4 linked regions of the Macaca fascicularis genome follow. The protein of the gene in region 1 interacts with the protein of each later gene in a pairwise test. Links are inferred from orthologs where the notes say so. Each region holds a gene or a part of one and is shown in the gene's direction. Other genes may lie near its edges.

Region 1 (5,054 bases):
TGTGATGCCATCAGATCACATTGAAGAATATACAAGCCGTACTATGAAGACTGTTGTCTCATATAGTCCTAACGTAGTGAGAACTGATGTTCTAACATACTGGTTTTTTTTGTTTGTTTTTTGGTCACTCAAAGGAGAAATTCCTGTGCAGTCTTACAAATCAGTTGTAGCTTAAATTGATTTGTGTTGTGACTTGTGCACACAGGTCACATTCCCTTGACAGAAAATATAGTTTAGAAACAAATTTGCGGCAGTTGTTAAGTGAATGCACAAGAGTTTATCATATTTAGGTCTTTTATTGTAAGACTCACTCCTGTCTTCATTTTATGTTCCACTGCTGTGCTTCGCATTTGCCTTTCTCTAGTTTTGTTTTCTGTCTCTGTGTTTCTATAGGGACTGCTCTCAGCCCAGGTGTGCAGGAAGCACACACGTGCCTGCAGAGCCTTCACCATCTCTGCATCCAGGGACTGACTTCAACGCACAGTGGCTGTACTGATCCGCTAAAACAAAGGAACAAATTACTTCTTCTAATTCACAGGGAAGTTCCAGGTTGTACGGGTGGTGAGGAGCCTTGTGTCTGTCTGCGCTTGCCCTGGTGAAAAACCCACCGTTCAGGCTGCAGGGTGTGAAACCCAGGCACAAACACTTCGCTGGATGCGGAGGAAAGATGCAAGGTTGCTCCCCTTCAGAGACAGCAAAGGGCAGATCTGTAGCTCTACTTACTTCAGGATTATGATTTTTGACAGAGCCGGGAGATCAGGGTTGTTGAACCAGGCCTGAAGGTCCTAGTGAATCTCGTGAAGAGAGGAGGGGTCTGACTGTAACATGGACCTAGAGGACATTCTTACTGCAGGAGAAGCAACAGTGGGGATGGGGTGGACTTGCCAAAGGAATGTAGCTCAAGTTCCTGCAGCCTAAAGCAGCTCAGTTTCTTTCGGCCAAACTTTCGCGAACTTCCCTGGCATTTCTCCTGCGGGAGCTACCGGTGCAGTGGGACACTTAGCCTCTCTAAAAGCATCTCCACAGCTGTTTGTGTCAAGCCTTTATTCCAAGAGCCTCACTTTTGCGAAGTAACGTGCTTCACACATTGGCTTCAAAGTACCCACGGCCGGTTGCAGTAAACATTGAGGAGGCCTGTCTCTGCGCCCAAAGTTGGGTGCCCTCATTTCAGACGATTTCTAGGGTGCTTCACGGGATCTGAAGGACCCTCGGACTTTAGAGCACCACCTCGGACGCCTGGCACCCCTGCAGCGCGGGCACAGCGACCTCCTCAGCTGCCAGGCCAGCCTCTGATCCCCGCGAGGGTCCCTGGGTGCTGCAGGGGAGGTGAGGACCAGAATAAAGGAGCAGTTTCCCCGTCGGTGCCATTATTCGACGCTGGCTCTAGGGCTCGGCCAGTCTGTCTAAAGCTGGTAGAAGTTTGTTCTGTAAAACAAAAGAAGGGAAAGGGGGAAGGGGACCCTGGCACAGATTTGGCTCGACCTCGACATAGGCTGGGCCTGCAAGTCTGCGGGGACCCAGTCCAGAGGGGCAGTGCTGGGAACGCCCCTCACGGAAATTAACTCCTCAGGGCACCCGCTCCCCTCCCGCGCGCCACCCCCTTCCCGCGGGAGACCAGGTCCCGCGGGGGTCACCGCTGTCCACCGCCTCCGGCGGCCGCTGGCCTTGGGTCCCCGCGGCTGGTTCTCCTCCCTCCTCCTCTCATTCTCCTCCTCCTCTGCTCCTCCCGATCCCTCCTCCGCCGCCTGGTCCCTCCTCCTCCCGCCCTGCCTCCCCGCGCCCCGGCCCGCGCGAGCTAGACGTCCGGGCAGCCCCCGGCGCAGCGCGGCCGCAGCAGCCTCCGCCCCCGGCACGGTGTGCGCGCCCGCCGCGGCCAAAGCGGCCGGAGTCCCGAGCTAGCCCCGGCGGCCGCCGCCGCCCAGACTGGACGACAGGCCACCTCGTCGGCGTCCGCCCGAGTCCCCGCCTCGCCGCTAACGCCACAACCACCGCGCACGGCCGCCTGACTCCGTCCACTATTGATCCGGAGAGCCGGAGCTTGCTCTTCGGGAAGCAGCTATGCGACCCTCCGGGACGGCCGGGGCCGCGCTCCTGGCGCTGCTGGCTGCGCTCTGCCCCGCGAGTCGGGCTCTGGAGGAAAAGAAAGGTAAGGGCGTGTCTCGCCGGCTCCCGCGCTGCCCCCGGATCGCGCCCCGGACCCCGCAGCCAGCCCAGCCGCGCACCGGCGCACCGGCTCGGCGCCCGCGCCCCCGCCCGTCCTTTCCTGTTTCCTTGAGATCAGCTGCGCCGCCGGCCGGGACCGCGGGAGGAACGGGACGTTTCGTTCTTGGGCCAGGAGAGTCTGGGGCGGGCGGGGGAGGAGACGCGTGGGGCACTGGGCTGCGGGCCGGCGGGGAAACGGCCGCCTGGACCTCCGGCGCCCCGAACCGCTCCCAACTTTCCACCCTCACTTTCCCCGCCCCGCTGCGCGGAATCGGCGTCAGTGGGCGAAAGCCCCGTGCGGGTGGGTGCCTGGGGCCGGGGTCCCGCACGTGCGCCCCGCGCTGTCTTCCCAGGGCGCGGCGGGGTCGCGGCGCGCACCCGAGGGACTGGCGCTGCCCACCCGCCGAGGCTGCGCTGTTTAGGGAAGCTGAGGAAGGACCCCGAAAATAAAGCCTCCCTTCGGACCCCGCGGGACAGGCGGCTTCCTGAGCGAACCTCCCTGCCTCCGCGCTCCGCGCAGGTCTCAAACTGAAGCCGGCGCCGGCCAGCCTGACCCCGGCCCCTCTCCAGGTCCCCGCGATCCTGGTTCCCAGGTGTGGAGTCGCAGCCTCAACCTGGGAGCTGGGAGAAGTCCGCCACCACCTGCGGCGCCTGGGAAGGGGTGGTGCTGGCGGCGGTGAGCTTCCTCGTTGGCAAAAGGCAGGTGGGGTCCGACCCGCCCCTTGGGCGCAGACCCCGGCCGCTCGCCTCACTCGGCGCGCCCTCGTCTTGCCGGTCCAGGTATGCCCCCCACCTCCTGGGGACCCGAGCTCCCTCCCGGGCGCCCGCGCAGAAAGGCCCGGGCTCTCGTTCGGTGGCCGCCTCGCGGGGACGTCCGGGTCTGCCCCACCTGCAGCCCTTCGGTCGCGCCTGGGCTTCGCGGTGGAGGGGGACGCGGCTGTCCGGCCACTGCTGGGGGGATCGCGGCCTCTAGTGCGGAAGCCCAGGAAGCAGAGCTCATCCTGGCCAGCACCACAGTGTTTCAAAATGGGGCTCACAGCAAACTTTTCTCCTCAAAACCCGGAGAGTTTCTTTCTTGGATGTTTCTTTTTGCTGTCTGAAGAATTTGACATTGAGCCAACCAAAATATTAAACCTGTCTTACACACACACACACACACACACACACACACCGGATTGATGTCCCTGGTTCAAGTGTGCCAAGTGTCCAGACAGAACATGAGCGAGTCTGGCTTCGTGACTACTGACCATAAACCCACTTGACACGGGAAACATGCCTCGGAAGGTTTAATTGCACAATTCCAACCTTGAGCTGCGCGGGTTCCAAGAGCCAGGCCCGTACTTGCTGTTGATGTCACTGGCATGGGGAGTTGGGGTTTGGTGCCCAGCGCGGTCGTTGGGGGAGGGGCAAGACATAGAACAGTGGTTCCCAGACCTTGCTGCACGTTAGAATTACCTGGGATTTAAAAAAAAAAATCAAAACAAAAACCAGTGTCTGAATCCCGCCCCCAGACATTCTGATTTAATTGGCATGGGGCAAGACCTGGACATGGGATTTTTTTTTTAATGCTTTTCATGTGATCTGTTGGGGAGCCAGGTTTGGGGATCACCGGACGGAAGAAGGATTGTTAAAGTCTCCGGAGAGATTACTTGCCAATGCAAAGAGCTCTTTGAGGACATCTGGAATTTTAACAATGTTGCCAAATATAGGAAAGAGGGAAAAGGTGGGGTGTGGTTCCAATAATAAAAGATTCCTCTTTTCATTGAAGGAACTGGTGGAAAGGTTTCTTCTCTGCTGAGCTTGCAGGGCCCCTCCTGCCTGCTTGGGGGCTGACTGTGGGTCCTGTTAGTCAGGTGTCAGCCCTGTCTCTGCTGAAGAGACTCTTCTCTTTATTTTAAATTAAACCCTCAGAGCACCTCCAAAGCATCACTTTTCTCCCTCCAGTGGGGTTCTCATTCTTTGATGTTACTTGCTTGAACACCACTGTTAGTGATTGGAGATTTGTTCCTGAGAAAAATATAAATACCACTTAATTTGCCTGTTTATCCTGTATTCACTCAAAACAGAAACTCCTGAAGACAGAGAGAGTAGGTGAACAGGCGCTATTCTGTTACAGTAACATAAAAGACTGAATTTTCAGGGGCAAATTATTAAAGTAGGAGATGAGCTCTTTTAACAGAAATTTGTTTGAGACCTGTGTCTATCAAATTCAGTCGATTTTATTCAAGATGCACTTCGTTTAGTAAGGGTTTTGTTTGGTTCTGGGACATGCTAACTTCTGGACTTGCTGCTCTTAGACGTAATGACTGCCAGACACCGTTTCATGCGTCCTAATCCCCACATTAAGCATAAGAGGTGTACACTCTCCTCCTATGGGGGAAACTGAGGTACAAAGAACTAAAGTGACTTTCCCACCGCTGGTAGGAGGCAGATGTAAAACTCACACCAGGGGCTTCCGACTCCAGATCCCTCTCTCAACTTCCAAACTCCACTGCCTTGTCCGAGTTCTGGTTTCAGGAGATCCAAATCAGGTGTGTGCAAACGTCTAATGACAGAGCTGGCAAGGGGAAAGGGCCCAGGGAGCCGGCTCATGAAGATAGGTCTGTCTGAAGCTTCAACGCGGGCTGTCCAGCAGTCTGCGTTCCTTCAGAGTTCCTCAGCCCTCTGTTCAGTCACCTTCCATGGAGACAGCTCCATCCCTAGGTCAGTGAGCATGGAGTGGAGACTGCTTGAGGGGCGCTAAGCAAAGCCCTGCCTCTTACAGAATGAAGGTGCTCTCCAGAAGGGACTCTGGAAAGTATTCCAAGGCGAGTCGGAATTCCCAACTGAGGGAGGTTTGTGGAAATAAGCCT
Region 2 (5,261 bases), on another chromosome or scaffold:
GCCTCTCAAAGTGCTGGGATTACAAGTGTGAGCCACTACGCCCGGCCTACTTTATCCAGTTTTCTTTTTTTTTTTTTTTTGAGACGGAGTCTCGCTCTGTCGCCCAGGCTGGAGTGCAGTGGCGCTATCTCGGCTCACTGCAAGCTCCGCCTCCCGGGTTTACGCCATTCTCCTGCCTCAGCCTCCCGAGTAGCTGGGACTACAGGCGCCCGCCACCTCGCCCGGCTAATTTTTTTGTATTTTTAGTAGAGACGGGGTTTCATTGTGTTAGCCAGGATGGTCTCGATCTCCTGACCTCGTGATCCGCCCGTCTCGGCCTCCCAAAGTGCTGGGATTACAGGCTTGAGCCACCGCGCCCGGCCTCTTTATCCAGTTTTCAAAGGAGGGAAGTGAGACTCAGAGAAGAGAAGTGACGGCACAAAGTCACCAGAGTACGTTAGGGAACCTAGATTTAAAAGCAGGTTTTAGAAATCAGCATTGTGCAAGGCATACTAGCTGTGAGGTAGGACTTGATGGTCTAGTTTCTCAATGTGGTCCTCAGTGCCTGGTTTGCAACCAACTGAGGAGTTTCTTACAGATCCAGGCTTCCAGGCCCCACCCACATCTACTGAATAGGAATCTCTTAGGCTAGATTTCAGGAATTTTTATTTTTCAGAAGCTTTCCTAGTGATGCTTATGCACATTAAAGTTTGAGCACAGGTGCACACACACACAAAAATGCTCTGGCATCCAGAGCAGGGAGGAGATAGCTCTAAGGGGCCTTCATGGAGAAGGCAGCATGGAGTTTGTCTCTGAAGGCTGGAGAGACTGGGGAGGAGGGGCCCCATATCTGGCTCCTCTGATAAGAGGATTCAAGCTTGGGCCTTTCACTATCTCTCTGCATTGTGGTCATCATTGTCCTTCCTCATCAATCTTTCCAATGTTCTCTTCAGCCTCCTCCCAAAACTTCAACAGCCTTTTCTCTGACTTTGCTTAATATAATTTTCTGCAATCTGGGAACAGGGAGATGGTGCCCACACAGAGATGGATTAGCATTTAAAGGACACACACATACAGGGCAGACAAGTAGAGGGCACTCAGTCACAGGCAGACAGGAAGGGGCAGAGATGAGTAAACAAGAAAAGGGTACAAAATGACAAGCGGACAGGGAAGGACAGGCGCACAGCAGATCATTACAAGCAGACATAAATGGGCTGGAAAAGGACACCTATAAACATGGATGGAAAGGAAGAGACAGATGTAACAAGGTCACACCCAAAGCCATAAGAGACAAAACTCACAGACGTAAAGGAATGCAAAGGACCCCTGCAAATGGATAGATGGGAGGCACACCCAGGTAGGACGGACTCAAGTGATTCCTCAGAACGGTAGCCCTTTACCCCACTGAGCTGAGAAGGGATTAACTTCAAGTACCTGGCCGGGGCTGCCAGGGCCTTGCCCATCTTTGTCTCACTGGTTGCTGCAGAGGGAGGCCAGGCCCCAGGCTCCAGGGTAAGGTGTGCTCCTGGATGTGCACCCCAATCCTGGTGAGGGAGATCACCTCCTCCTTCTTACATCACATTTATTTCAAATCTTAGATACTTATTATTAGGCCTGCAGCCTCGCTTCTTTCTGGCTTGCAGCCCAATTTCGTACGGGTCCCTTGGGCCCTTGCTCTTTTTGGGATGTTTTATTCTAATTCCCAGCCCCAGCCGACGGGGAAGCGTCACCAGTTCATTTACAGATCACTTTCCCTTTAAGCAATTTTCCCTAATCCGCCAGCTTCCCAGACTCCCTTTCGTTCCCGACATCACTTGCAGTCTCTAAGAGCACCACATCTCCCAGAAATCTTAGTGGCCAAGGGGCTACCCTAGGGAACTTCAAGTACCGAAATGCTCTCTTATCCGGCTCGGTGACTGCCGTGGTGACCGGTGGGGCTTGTAGTCACCTCGGAATTGTTAGGGGACGAAAAAAACTACTCACCCCAAGTGTCCCTGCGTCAGAGGCGGGTTTCTCTTCTGTCTCTCTCTGCTCTCGCCTAAATCCTTCCTCGGACTTCAACTCCCGCCGTGTCTTGCGCTGAGATCCCTGCGACAAAGAATCGGGCTGTGTCCAAAGTGTTCTCTGGGAGTTGTAGTTCCTCTATTGGTGAGGCAAGGAGGAGGCGGAGTGACTCGGCGGCCATTAGCTGTGTGTAGTTGCCCGGGACTAGGAGCTTAAGTGAAGAGGGACGCCTTATTCGGTGGAAATCAGCCGTAGCCATGAGCTTCTGCCGCGGCTTGCCCTAGAGTACGGAGCAGGCGGACTTTTCGATTCCCCGCCCCGCCAGGTGGCGGGGCCTACTAGGCCTCCGGGCATCCCCGGTCTCAAGTAGGCCTCATCTGCCGGCAAGGGCGCCCCAAACGCGGGAGGCGCCATGTCGCTGGTTGCTTACGCCAGCAGCGATGAGAGCGAGCCGGATGAGGCTGAGCCCGAGCCGGAGGAAGAGGAGGCGGTGGCCCCTACATCTGGGCCCGCTTTAGGGGGCTTGTTCGCTTCTCTCCCTGCGCCCAAGGGCCCGGCCTTGCTGCCTCCGCCCCCTCAGATGCTGGCCCCAGCGTTTCCCCCGCCGCTGTTGCTTCCCCCACCCACCGCAGACCCCAGGCTTCAGCCTCCTCCCCCCTTGCCCTTCGGCCTGGGAGGCTTCCCCCCACCTCCAGGCGTGAGCCCGGCTGAAGCGGCGGGAGTTGGGGAGGGACTGGGATTGGGGTTGCCCTCGCCCCGAGGCCCTGGCCTCAGTCTGCCCCCTCCAATTGGCGGTGCCGGCCCCCCGCTGGGGCTTCCCAAGCCAAAGAAGAGGAAAGAGCCCGTGAAGATCGCGGCGCCGGAGTTGCATAAGGGAGATGTGAGTATCCGGGGAAGGCACCCCCAAACTGTCCATCGGGTTTGAGTCGGCGGTAGGAGGGACATGTGGCGATTTCGGAACTCCTTCCCACAAACACATCCGTGGATTCAAGGCCACTGGAATCCTCTTATAATGTGATTAATTGAGCTGAAGTTGGTCAACTTCGGGGAGTTTGGGTGTTTGCCCATGTGGGTTTCCTGAAGCTGGGCTTGCCTGCAGAAGGTCACATGTCATCATCACCTGGTACTGACAGGCCTAGGGACACTTGGATCCGCTCCCCCTCTGCATCTTCACCTCAGTCCAGCTTTTTCCCCTTTCCTCCTACTGAGAACAGGATGAAATCTGGCACCTGAGGAATGACAGGAGACAGGGCTCCTGAACCTTTGCCGAACATCTGGGACAAATCTTTTCCTTGCCTCTGAACTCAAAAACATCAGGCCTGGAGGAGAATGATAGTAATCTTGGATTCTATTTTTGAGGGGAGTTAGAGGAGAAATCGAATGTTTGTTGAGTGCAGATCGTTTGCCGTTCATTGGTCCTTTCTTTCAATTATTACAGAGCTCTGGGAGGTAACATACTATTGTTTTACAGATGAGAAACAGGTGTCCAGCATGCACGATTTTACCTGGCAAAGGGCAGAGTGAAGATTAAGGTTCAGTCTCTCTGAACCTCAGATCTGTGCCTCATTTTCACCATTTAGCCATGGTCAAAGCTAGGTGAATTAGGATGCTTGGGTACTGTTTCTAGAAGAGGCAGTGAGTCTTACCTGTTTCTGTATGTGACAATGGAAAAATACAAGGCTTCTTCTGGAGTGAGGGCTTTGGAGATAAAGGAGAGATTAAGCCTGGGAGCAGGAACTGCTTAGAATTACTTACCAGAGAGAAATTTATTGCCTTTGCTTTTCTTCAGACTCCCAGCTCTGCCTAGGAGCCATCTTCATTCTTTGAACCTGCTGTTCCTTAAATTTCTTCCCTCAGATATCCTAATGTTCTCTCCCTCACCTCACTTGGCCTAAAAGGCCTGTTTTCTGTGAGGACTTCCCTAGCCTGTTATTTAAATTGCAGCCTCCTATAACCTCCTTCTCCCCATTGCTCTTTGTTTTATTTTTCTCCATTGCACTTAACATTATCTATCCTCCCACTAGTATATAAACTCCATGAAGACAGGGATTAACAAAAAAAGTTCACTGCTATAATCCTAGTACTTACAACAGTGCCTGGCACATACTGAATACTCCCATGGATGTTTTATGAGTGAAAGAACTCCAACATGGATTCTTCATGGAAGGAGGTTGCAGAGTTTCCCTCCCTATCTTGTTGGAAACTTTCTTCCTTTTTTTTTTTTTTGAGACAGAGTCTCCTTCTGTCGCCCAGGCTGGAGTGCAGTGGCGCCATCTCGGCTCACTGCAAGCTCCGCCTCCCGGGTTCACTCCATTCTCCTGCCTCAGCCTCCCCAGTAGCTGGGACTACAAGCGCCTGCGGCCACACCCGGCTAATTTTTTTCTATTTTTATTAGAGACGGGGTTTCACTGTGTTAGCCAGGATGGTCTCGATCTCCCAACCTCGTGATCCACCCGCCTTGGCCTCCTAAAGTGCTGGGATTACAGGTGTGAGCCACCGCGCCTGGTCACTTTCTTCCATTTTATTTCCCGCTTCTTGCACACCTGAGAGTCTGTCATCCTAAGTCTAGGATCCAAAAAAAAGCCTTTTATTGCTCCATGGAAACTTACCTTGGCTTTGATTTAACCTGGAACATGGAAAGATCCCTGAATGAGACAAATAAAAACAGTCTACACGGACATGGAAAGGCTCATTTCTAGCGCTGTGAAGGCAGCATTATAGAAAGTTGGGAGAGGATGTAGAATCTGCCATTTAGGTTGGCTGAGGTGGCAGAAAACTCTGAAGACTCCTAACACTCCCTCCTTTGTAAGCATTCACTAAATTTCTGAAGTGAACAGTGACATGGCTAATTAAAGTCCTAGCCCGTGCTGGTTGAGTTTCCCATTTTTGTTCTGTTCAAGTTGGTCTTTTTGTTCTTGGAACACGTAATTCCTGCAGAAAGGTAGCCTAAGAATGTTCAAGATGGTCAGGTGAGGGTAACCTTTGTCTTTATTTATCTTTTGAGATGTAGTTTCGCTCATTGCCCAGGCTGGAGTGCAATGGCACAATCTCGGCTCACCGCAACCTCCACCTCCAGGGTTCAAGCGATTCTCCTGCCTCAGCCTCCCGAGTAGAGTACCTGGGATTACAGGCGTGCGCCACCACGCCCAGCTAATTTTGTATTTTTGGTAGAGACTGGGGTTTCTCCTTGTTGGTCAGGCAGGTCTTGAACTCCTGACCTCAGGTGATCTGACCACCTTGGCCTCCCAAAGTGCTGGGATTACAGGCGTGAGCCACCG
Region 3 (4,952 bases), on another chromosome or scaffold:
GTGACACTTCTTTTTTTGTTAGTACATGCCTTTATGTATGTGTTCATTGGGTTGTGATATAAAAGGCATTTCTTATTGTGGATCACGGTCAAAAGAGTTTGAGAAACATTGCTCTAGGTACATCATGGTTCAGTGCAGGTAGGAGCCTGCAACACTTTGTTTCTATGCCTGCATTGAAGGGATCTGGAAAAAAATCATCTCTATATTGTTCATCTGAAAAATGTTCATCATCTCTTACAAAGTCGTGATCTGAGAATCCTTGAAGTGATCTCTGGGACATATCTTATAGGTCTTAAAATCGAGATAGATCCACAATTCTATCAGTTAAGAAATAACTACTGATCGCCAATGTGTTCTAGACACTGTCCTTGGAGGTGTTGAGTTAACAGCATGAGTAAGTGGGAGGCCCTCTCTGGCCTGGTGCTGAAGCATATCTGGCTACTAAATGAGGCAGAAAGTAAGGCAAGGTTTTAAGCAGTGCTATGAGCACTCGGAACACAAGGAAGATTTGAAATTTTGAAGGTGAGAAGGAGCGTGTCTGGGGGAATAATCCAGGTTCTTGCAGAATTAGAGGTTAAGAAAGTAAGATCTCAACTTTATTTTATTTATTCATTAAAAATACACATATATTTTAACACCTACTATGTCCTTGAGATATATCAATGAACAAAATAGACAAAAATCCCTGCCTTCATGGAGTGTACATTCTACTGGGAGAAATTTAAAATATATATATGATAAGTAAATGATCTGTCCAAAAGACAAACTGCTATGGTTGAAATAGTAGAGCAGAAGTAGGGTGATTAGAAGTAGGACCGCAAATCCTAATTTTAAGTGGGAGACAGTCAGTGGAATATATTTAGAATTCAACTATAATAGTAGCATATATTTACTCTAATAGAAATTCTACAGATATTCCAACATAATTGGAATCTTGTGGTGTACAAACCACCGTAAAACTGCCTATTCTCCATACCGCATTGAGACATGCTGCAGCCACTAGGGCGCAAATGGGCCCTTTCTTAGGAAAATGGGCTGAGAGTATGGGAGTGTGAGAGAGATGTGGGTGATTATGCACACACACACTCCTTCCTTCCCCAAGTGTTCCTCAGGGGCTTCTCCACTTAAGGGGCACTGACAAGACAGGCGGAGTTTTACGTGCGTCTGAGACCAGGTCATTTTTGCCCTTGCTTCTCTTCCTTGGCACGTCCTCACCTAGCAGAAAATCGAGAGAGGCCCTGCTGAGGAGTAAACTTCAGCCTGGCCGTTCACCACTCAAAGTGTGTTACAGCCGAGCGACAGTGGTGAGACAGACCTGCTAGCCTTGCCTTCGGGACCTGCAGCAAGATTTTTGGGTGCTGTCCAAGAATTCCCGCGGTAACACTCAGCGCCCAGGATCTGTACAAAAAAGCCCCACTAGATGTTTTACGTTCCCTTCGTAATATTTAATGCTTGGCCTAGATCCGAGCATTCACTCTAAGGTTCGGTTTCTCGATCCTTCCCATCCCCAGCCTCTGCGGGTAGATCAGTGACTGTTACTATATTTTGAACGAGACTCCAACCCATTGCTCTCTCTGGAGCGGAGGATTGGCCGCCTTTTTCCCCGGGCCGGACCTCGGCGAGGCCAGGCAAGCCGCTCACTGGCCGGGCAGGGACGCGCAGGCGTCGGGCGCCGCTGGTTGCGCATCTGGCGCCAGAGCGCGCCCCCAGCGCTGTGCCCGCCGCGACCGTGGCGGTGGGCTGGTGCTCCGGAGCGTGCCGGGCGCTCTCTCCCCGCGCGGGGGCACCAGAGCCCTCGGAAGTGTCAGGCACTGCGGTGCATTTTCCCAGTTCGCTTTTAAATGACTGCGGAAAAACAGATTCCGAGCCGCAAAAGGGAAGACGGATTCTCAGACAAGGCTTGCGAATGCCCCGCAGCCGTCATTTAACTGCGCCCGCAGAACAATTACGGTTTGTCACCCGACCCTCCCGGATCGCCTAATTTGTCCCTAGTGAGACCCCGAGGCTCTGCCCGCGCCTGGCTTCTTCGTAGCTGGATGCATATCGTGCTCCGGGCAGCGCGGGCGCAGGGCACGCGTTCGCGCACACCCGCGCACACATGAACACGCGCAAGGTACGGCAGGGGAGCAAGGGCTTGGGATGCCCTGCATGGGGTGGGCATCGCGGGGAGTGAAGCTACGATATGGGAATGGCTACATCCCGACAGGTTAAAGGATGAGAGAAAATGACGCGGCGCCACACATCGGACAGGCCAGGGTGGCCACCGAGCATTTAGAATACGCATCAGGCGCGCTCCCTTCCCCTCACATGTCTCTATTTCCCGGGCGTGTGATGGCAGAAAACGGCAGGAAAAAGACCCACTTAGAGAGCTAGAATTGTGTTTGGAGACTCCCTTCCCTCTGCAAAAGCACCAACAGGAAGCCCCTCCAAAACCACCGATCCCCAAATAGGTGGCCCGGAATGGGGGCGGTGATCCTTGGTTACCAATGCAGAACACGTTTTGGTGTTTACAACATTTATTTATTTTTAGGATAGCTTGCCCTCCCTTTTAGGCAGGGTGGGAAAGGAGAACGCGGGGAGGGAGAAGGGAGGGAGGATTCCTATAATAAGAATCAGCGCATTTTTCAGAGCTGAACCAAGCACGGTTTCCATTTCAAAAAGCGAGCCAGCCTCTACCGCGATTGTAGAAGAGACTGTGGTGTGAATTAGGGACCGGGAGGCGTCAAACGGAGGAACGGTTCATCTCAGAGGTACCTGGATGTAAATTCACACACACACACACACACAGAGGCACGCGCGCGCGTGTCTACACGGCCAGGATGTGTGCGTGTGTGCGTGCGTGTGTGCGCGCGTGTGTGCACTCCCACATGCTGCTGCTGTCTGCTTCTGGCCAGTGGCACTGATGCCTCCCTCCTCCCTGCTCGCCCCCAGATTCCCCTCCCCTCCCTGGTGCTTTTGTCTGGAGGGTGTTATGGGTTTGTGTGTGTATGAGCGCGTGTGTGTTTTTGGATTTCAGACTAATTTTCTGGAGTTTCTGCCCCTGCTCTGCGTCAGCCCTCACGTCACTTCGCCAGCAGTAGCAGAGGCGGCGGCGGCGGCTCCCGGAATTGGGTTGGAGCAGGAGCCTCGCTGGTTGCTTCGCTCGCGCTCTACGCGCTCAGTCCCCGGCGGCAGCAGGATCCTGGACCCAGGCGCCGCCGGCGGGCGTGAGGCGCCGGAGCCCGGGTGAGCAGCGCAGACAGTGCCCTCGGTCGCCTCGGCCCTCCCTGTCTCCCCCTGGGGCGGCCTCGGCTACTCCCCAGGTGGGACGTGCCGCGCCACCTGCCCGCGCCACCGGCACCCAGCGGCTGTGGCGGATTCTGCAGCATCATTCGGGGCCCCCGTCGCGGAGCCAAAGCTGCCGGCAGTCTCCGCATTCCCCTTTAAAGGGTCCTTCGCCCGGCCTGTACCATGGAATCCTGTCTCGGGGACCCTTTCCCTACCTCCCCTCCCTTGGCCTCAGGCTCGAAGAGAGAGTGGGCACACTGGTGGCTCCAGCGGCGTCAGTGCCATCGCGGGGCAAGTTGATTCCTGGGCTGGAGCTGGGCACTCATCCATCCACAGTCTCCCGGCTGGGATCGGGGTGGGGATGATGCGAGCGCAGAGGGAGAGTGCTCCAATTAGTGGTGTTGGGGGTCCTACACTCAGTCTTACGCGTATCTGTTTGTCCTCAGCCTCGAGGTGCATACCGGACCCCCATTCGCGTCTAATAAGGAGCCTGCACCCCAGAGAGTCCCGGGAGCGCCGCCGGTCGGTGCCCGGCGCCCCGGGCCATGCAGCAACGGCCGCGGCGGAGCTCCGAGCGGCGGTAGCACCCCCCTGTAAAGCGGTTCACGATGCCGGGGCCACTGTGAACCCTGCCGCCTGCCGGAATACGCTCCGCTCCGGACCAGCTCAGCCTGTGATACGCTGGACTCCGCGCGCCCGCAGCAAGCAAGCACCGAGGAGTCAAGAGAGCCGCAAGCGCGGGGAAGGCCTCCCCGCACAGGTCGGGGAAACCGGCCGGTGCAGCGTGGGGACACTCACTCGGGCTGGCACTGGCTGCTAGGGATGTCGTCCTGGATAAGGTGGCATGGACCCGCCATGGCGCGGCTTTGGGGCTTCTGCTGGCTGGTTGTGGGTTTCTGGAGGGCCGCTCTCGCTTGTCCCACGTCCTGCAAATGCAGTGCCTCTCGGATCTGGTGCAGCGACCCTTCTCCTGGCATCGTGGCATTTCCAAGGTTGGAACCTAACAGTGTAGATCCTGAGAACATCACCGAAATGTGAGTTCCTGGAGCTTTTCCTCTTTTTTCGCCTTGCCCCTAGGGCCCGGGCTGGCCAGATGGGTAGGTCCTGAAAGTGAATGCTGTCTCAAGAGTGGGGAGAAGTCAGAGACAAGAGATGCAAGACAGGGCCATCTGTCAGTTACCTGTCTGTTTCACTGGCTTGGGACTGCCAGTGCAGGAGAAGTGTGACACTTTAGGATAAGTTTTAAATATAGATATACATATGCCGATTATATATGTATTCCTCGTGGGAAGGAACTCACTATGCTTTTTATATTTCAAAGCTCTGCTGGGTGTGCTTTAGGCTTTCCGCATGCACTAACTTAGTTTTGGGCATTTTTGTTTCATAAAGTGCTGTGTGTATGTTGTGTTAGAAGTTCCATTAATATTCACTAGAAAAGAGGTTAAAATAATTAACTTTCCCGAATCTGTTGAAGGAAGTGACAGTCTCTCCCTTAACATCTTTTTTGAGGTTTGAGTTAACCACTTTCCCTTTTCATTTTATATATCAGATTTTGCTTAGGAGATGGCATCCAGAGATGGCCTTGAAAATGATCTGTAAGAGGAGAAGTTCTGAGTGTTGAAATGCACTCGCTCAAAAGAAAAAAATGTGATCGTTGGAAGCCTAAAAGCCTGGTTTGATTTAAT
Region 4 (4,937 bases), about 73 Mb from region 1:
GGAGTTCAAGACCAGCCTGGCCGATATGGTGAAACTCCATCTCTACTAAAGATACAGAAATTAGCCGGGCCTAGTGGTACGCACCTATAGTCCCAGCTACTCAGGAGGCTGAGGCAGAAGAATTCCTTGAACCTGGGAGGCGGAGGTTGCAATGAGCTGAGATCGCACCACTGCACTCCAGCCTGGGCAACAGAGCGAGATTCCGTCTCAAAAAAAAAAAAAAAAACAACAGTGCTATCAAACTTCACAGATAGTAAAACGAACGGTAGGAACGCATCTCCCTGACCCTTGGGGAAATACACGTTTGCAGGGTTGGAGGGTCAGAGGAGACATGGGCTGGGGGTTCCTGCATCCTCTCCGCTCCGACTTGTTCCGATCTGATTTGACCTGTCTTTGTCCCTGGATTTCCTGGAGCCTCTGTGATCCAAGAACAGCGTTCCAGCCCGCACCTGAATGGCTCTTCTCTCCAGTTCTTTATCATGTTCCTACGAAGCAGAGATGAGTCCATCTTGATGCTCTGGGTTTTGGCTTAGAAGGTGGATGCCTAGTTTGTAATCATCCCTTGAGCCTTCAGTTCCCTCCCACTTCCTCTTCCTTCCAACCTCGTCCCCCACCGGCATCGTCCATCGCTTCCTGTGTACCTCCGAGTCACTTTGATGTGAGCGTGTCTCCTCTAAGAAGCATAAAGTGGGTTTTATTCCCTGACCCCAGCACAGGCAGGAGCAAGCTCTGATGCAAAGTTCTAATGGGTCTGTGGGGCCTCTGGCTTCTCAGGCAGTCTCATCTTAGGGTTTTACGGGGTTGCAAAAAGGAAGCCTGACCCTGCTGATTCCTCTCCCAGCATAGGCTCTGCCCTCTCTCTGCTGTCTCACTTTAAAGTTTCTTTTCTTTTCTTTTTTTTTTTTTTTTTTTTTTTTTGAGACAGAGTCTCGCTTAGTCGCCCAGGCTGGAGTGCAGTGGCGCGATCTCGGCTCACTGCAAGCTCCGCCTCCCGGGTTCACGCCATTCTCCTGCCTCAGCCTCCCGAGTAGCTGGGACTACAGGCGCCCGCCACCGCGCCCGGCTAATTTTTTTGCATTTTTAGTAGAGACGGGGTTTCACAGTGTTAGCCAGGATGGTCTCGATCTCCTGACCTTGTGATCCGCCCGCCTCAGCCTCCCAAAGTGCTGGGATTACAGGCGTGAGCCACCGCGTCCGGCCTTCTTTTCTTTTTTGAGACAGAGCCTCCTTCTGTCACCCAAGCTGGAGTTCAGTAGTGCCATTAAGCTCACTGCAGCCTCCCCATCCTGGGCTCCAGTGATCCTCCCGCCTCAGCCTCCCGAGTAGCTAGGACTAGAGATGCATACCACCATGTATGGCTAGCTTATTTTCTATTTTTATTTTTCGTAGAGATAGGGGTCTCACTATGTTGCCCAGGCTGCTCTCAAACTCCTGGCCTCAAGTGATCCTCCTGCCTTGGCCTCCCAAAACACTGGGATTGCAGGCATCAGCCACCACGCCGGCCTGTTCGTTTCCCGTGTTTGCTCCTGTTCTCCTGTCTTTGACTTCTGTGAAAGGGTGCGTGTGATTTGGCCTGGATCTGCTGCAGGTCTCTTCCGACGCCGCTTTTGTGTCTCAGAGCCGGAATGTTCAGAGCTTTGCTCGCCGTGAAGTAGGGTTCATCTGGTGCCCGGGAGGGAAGGGCGCCCGGCCCCCGAGGGGTTCTCCGGGGAAAGATGACCCCATCCCCCGGGTCCCGCCCCTCAGCCCCCCGCTTCCCCTGTGCAGGGGACTTGGTGACAGATACCACTTCCTGCAGCTGGGCTGGGGTTGCACCAGCACTTCCCTCTCGGGCAGGGTTGAGGTCAAGGGCGACTCTGATGCAAGGTTCTGAGAGGCCCGTGGGGCTGTGGATTCCTGAGCAGCCTCAGCTTTGGGTTTTGCACCTTAGGTCTTGGTAAGGGGACCCGCCTGCCCTTAGACATGGGAAGTCCAGGAGCTGGAGGACGAGGAGGGCGCCCGCCCCCAGTGTGGGGCAGCAGGGAGGGCAGCAGGGTCATCAGGCTCCAGGCTGGAGCTCTGGGGCCTGCTCGGGGGGGGGTGCGGGACGGGGGGTTCTGTGCTCTTCCTCCCTGCTTGCCCTGCAGCTCTGTCGGCTTAGCTTCAGGGCACCAGAGGTGACAGTGGCCAGGTACCTGCCTGTTTGCCTGAATGCTGTCCTACATCTGTGCCTTACCCATTCCCGTCCCCCAGGGAGCTGGCACAGGCCCTTCGACCACCTCCAGGCACACGGAGGAAACGGACGCAGAGAGGCCAGATGCGGTCTTGGTTTCTTAGGCCTCAGGTGAGGCCCTGGACCTCCGTGGGCCATCCTGGCTACTGGGTGGAGGGGCTGCCCTGCCCTGTTCTCCCACAGAAGGGAGGCCGGCTGCCAGGCTCAGTGCACTGCCTTACCTCCCGGAGCCGACCTTCGTCCCCAGCTGTTTGTCTGGGCTCAGCCACTGGCATCGGGGGGTGGGGCAGGGCCTGGCTTCTCTTATGCCCCCAGCTCCGAGCCCCCCAGGGCTGTTCATGGAGGAGCAACAGTGGGGAGAGGTTGGCTCCCCGCCCGCCCCCTTGCTGTGGTCATGGTCAGGGCACTGTGGTCTCTGAGCCAATCCTGCTGGAATCAATGTGCACCCCATCTCCCTAGGGGCAGGGGTTTTGCTCAGGGTAACTGGGCTCCAGGTCCATATCTTGCTGCTGCTGGGGGCCTCAATTTCCCCATCTGAGGGTACAAAGTGTTTGCATGCCGCTGGTCATGACTGTGTTAGGGGCGGAGATATCAAGTCTGCGGCCCCAGGGAAAGCGTGGAGCTGGGGTGTGGGTCCTTACCAGCCTGGCTGAGGCTGCCGGGGGAAGGCTGCACCCCCTCCCCACTTGGCACAGCTGCGAACTGGGGGTGTCCTGAGGCCAGCTGGACCCTGCACCCTGGGGTGGCTCCAGCATGCACAGGGTCTCCGGTCAGCTGAGGGGTTGGTGGGCACTCATGGCACCGAGGTCTGTCCAGGCGCGGGACTTTGGGGGGGCGCAGATGGAGAGCTGGAACTGGCCTTGGCCTGAACCACAACCCCCAAGGATCAGAGACACAGGGGCTTTCAGACACAGGGTAGGCCCGGTGTGAACCCAAACCACCTCCTCCAGGAAGTTAGAGCAGGTGCAGGTTCTGTTTTTGACCCCAGAATGGGAAGGATCAAGGGTTCCCTTTTGACATTTTGGAATTCTGACTGTAATTTTGCTGGGAACCAGGAAACGAGGTCACCTCCAAAACGACAGGACCTTGGGGCTGGTTGGGGCCTCTAAGCTGTGGGATGCTCAGATGGGCCCGGGTGGGTGTTCCGTCGGCCTCAGAGCCCCCGGCACAGGTGCAGGGGTTTTGGGGGATGGAGGGGAACCAGGGCCTGTGGCTGAGGGCACCCAAGCCTCCCCGGCCACAGCACAGCACCCAGCACTGTCTTCAAAGTGAGCAGGCCCTAGTTTGGGGTTCTGCTGGCTTGGGTCTGCCCACTGAACCTTGGGTGACCCTGCCAGCACCACCCGAGGGCAGTGGGTGGGACAGAAACGCCCCAGACGCCTGGGAGGCCGCGAGAGGAACCGGCGTTTGCTGGGGGAGGTGTGTTCATCTTTGCTTCTGATAACAGCCCCAGGGTAACAGAAGCGTCTTCCTGCCCACTATGGCAGGAAGGCTCCTGGGTACCCCTTCTCAGAACCTCTCCACCTCTTGGTGCCAGATAAAAGGGTCCCAGCGAGGACCCAACGTTCTCAGGTCCTGGAGGTCAGACCCAGAGGCCCACCCCACCTAGGAAGCCCTAAGACCTCCCAAGGAGCCGACCTAGGGCTGCTTTGGGCACCTCCAGGATGGAGGGAAGGGAGCCCAGGCTGAGGCCTGGTTCTGTCATTTTGCCTCTGGGGCCGAGGGCCTGTGAGTGACCACAGAGCTGCCCCAGCTGTGGATGACTGGGTTAAGGACGGGGTGGGTGTGTATCTGGAAACAAAAGGGCAAGAGCCCGGCAGCTGGTGGCTTGGGCAAGTCAGGTGACTTTTTTTCCCACCTGGCAGGGACCGCAAGGCTCCTGGGCAGGCCTTGCACACAGCCTGGCACTCGCGGACATCAAGCCAGCTTTCTCTTCCTGGCCCTGTTTCTGCCACAGAGAGACAGGGCAAGCCCGGCTCTGCTCCAAGCACAGGCTCTGCTCACGGAGGACTTGGGGTGCACAGGGGCAGAGTGCACACACCGGGTGTGTGGGGTTGTGGTGTGCGTGTGCGTGCACATTTGCACGTGTGTATGGTATGTGTGTGTGGTGTGTGTGCCTGTGTGGTGTGTGCGTGTGTGTACGTGTGCATGTATATTTGTGTGTGGTGTGTAGTGTCTTGTGGGGAGTACGGTGTGGGTAAGGGGTGTATACATCTCTCTGTGTACATATGTGTGGCGTGACACATACATGTGTATGTGTGGTGTGTGCGTGCATGTGGTGTGTACATGCGGTTAGGCATGCATCTGTATGCGTGTACACGTGCATGTGTGGTGTGTGGTGTGTGGTGTGTGTATTGTCTGCATGTGTGTGTGCCTGTGTTGTGTGTCTCTGCAGGGACCTGCTGCAGCTGTCCTGGGTGCCTGGCTGCTGAGCAGGTGTGCTGCCCGCACTGCTGGGCCCGACCTCCCTCCCTCCCTGGCTATTGGAAGCTGGGCCCAGCGCAGCTGTGCTGGCCTGACTCTAACCCACCCCTGCAGGGGGGACAGGAACCCAGCTCCTTGTCCCAGGCCAGCTGGAGGCGGGCTTTGTGGGTGGTCAGCCCCAGGGGCTGGGCCTGAGACCGTCACCAAAACCCCTTCCCTCCACAGGACATGCTGGGCCTGCGCCCCGCTCTGCTCGCCCTGGTGGGGCTGCTCTCCCTCGGGTGTGGTGAGTTCTGTGTTC

What was found. The genes of interacting proteins can lie anywhere in the genome.
Region 2: the proteins of EGFR (region 1) and PRCC interact in a protein complementation assay, tested with the Homo sapiens proteins (2 studies listed by BioGRID and IntAct). The link is inferred for Macaca fascicularis from reciprocal best matches to the Homo sapiens genes EGFR and PRCC.
Region 3: the proteins of EGFR (region 1) and NTRK2 interact in a protein complementation assay, tested with the Homo sapiens proteins (3 studies listed by BioGRID and IntAct, with this or other methods). The link is inferred for Macaca fascicularis from reciprocal best matches to the Homo sapiens genes EGFR and NTRK2.
Region 4: the proteins of EGFR (region 1) and ITGB2 interact in a protein complementation assay, tested with the Homo sapiens proteins (3 studies listed by BioGRID and IntAct, with this or other methods). The link is inferred for Macaca fascicularis from reciprocal best matches to the Homo sapiens genes EGFR and ITGB2.

The regions. Positions count from the first base shown.
Region 1 is NC_088377.1:75,385,754-75,390,807, reverse strand, and holds the start of EGFR (epidermal growth factor receptor), read left to right. Parts: upstream 1-1,797; 5' UTR 1,798-2,058; coding exon 2,059-2,146; intron 2,147-2,373; exon of another isoform or gene 2,374-2,982; intron 2,983-5,054. UniProt on the Homo sapiens protein: Receptor tyrosine kinase binding ligands of the EGF family and activating several signaling cascades to convert extracellular cues into appropriate cellular responses.
Region 2 is NC_088375.1:104,305,462-104,310,722, reverse strand, and holds the start of PRCC (proline-rich protein PRCC), read left to right. Parts: upstream 1-2,158; 5' UTR 2,159-2,395; coding exon 2,396-2,863; intron 2,864-5,261. UniProt on the Homo sapiens protein: May regulate cell cycle progression through interaction with MAD2L2.
Region 3 is NC_088389.1:115,291,157-115,296,108, forward strand, and holds the start of NTRK2 (BDNF/NT-3 growth factors receptor), read left to right. Parts: upstream 1-1,849; 5' UTR 1,850-2,113; intron 2,114-2,628; exon of another isoform or gene 2,629-2,661; 5' UTR 2,662-2,750; intron 2,751-3,103; exon of another isoform or gene 3,104-3,558; intron 3,559-3,713; 5' UTR 3,714-4,089; coding exon 4,090-4,301; intron 4,302-4,952. UniProt on the Homo sapiens protein: Receptor tyrosine kinase involved in the development and the maturation of the central and the peripheral nervous systems through regulation of neuron survival, proliferation, migration, differentiation, and synapse formation and plasticity.
Region 4 is NC_088377.1:2,130,548-2,135,484, forward strand, and holds the start of ITGB2 (integrin beta-2), read left to right. Parts: upstream 1-1,834; 5' UTR 1,835-1,859; coding exon 1,860-1,936; intron 1,937-2,232; coding exon 2,233-2,323; intron 2,324-4,097; exon of another isoform or gene 4,098-4,256; intron 4,257-4,861; coding exon 4,862-4,922; intron 4,923-4,937.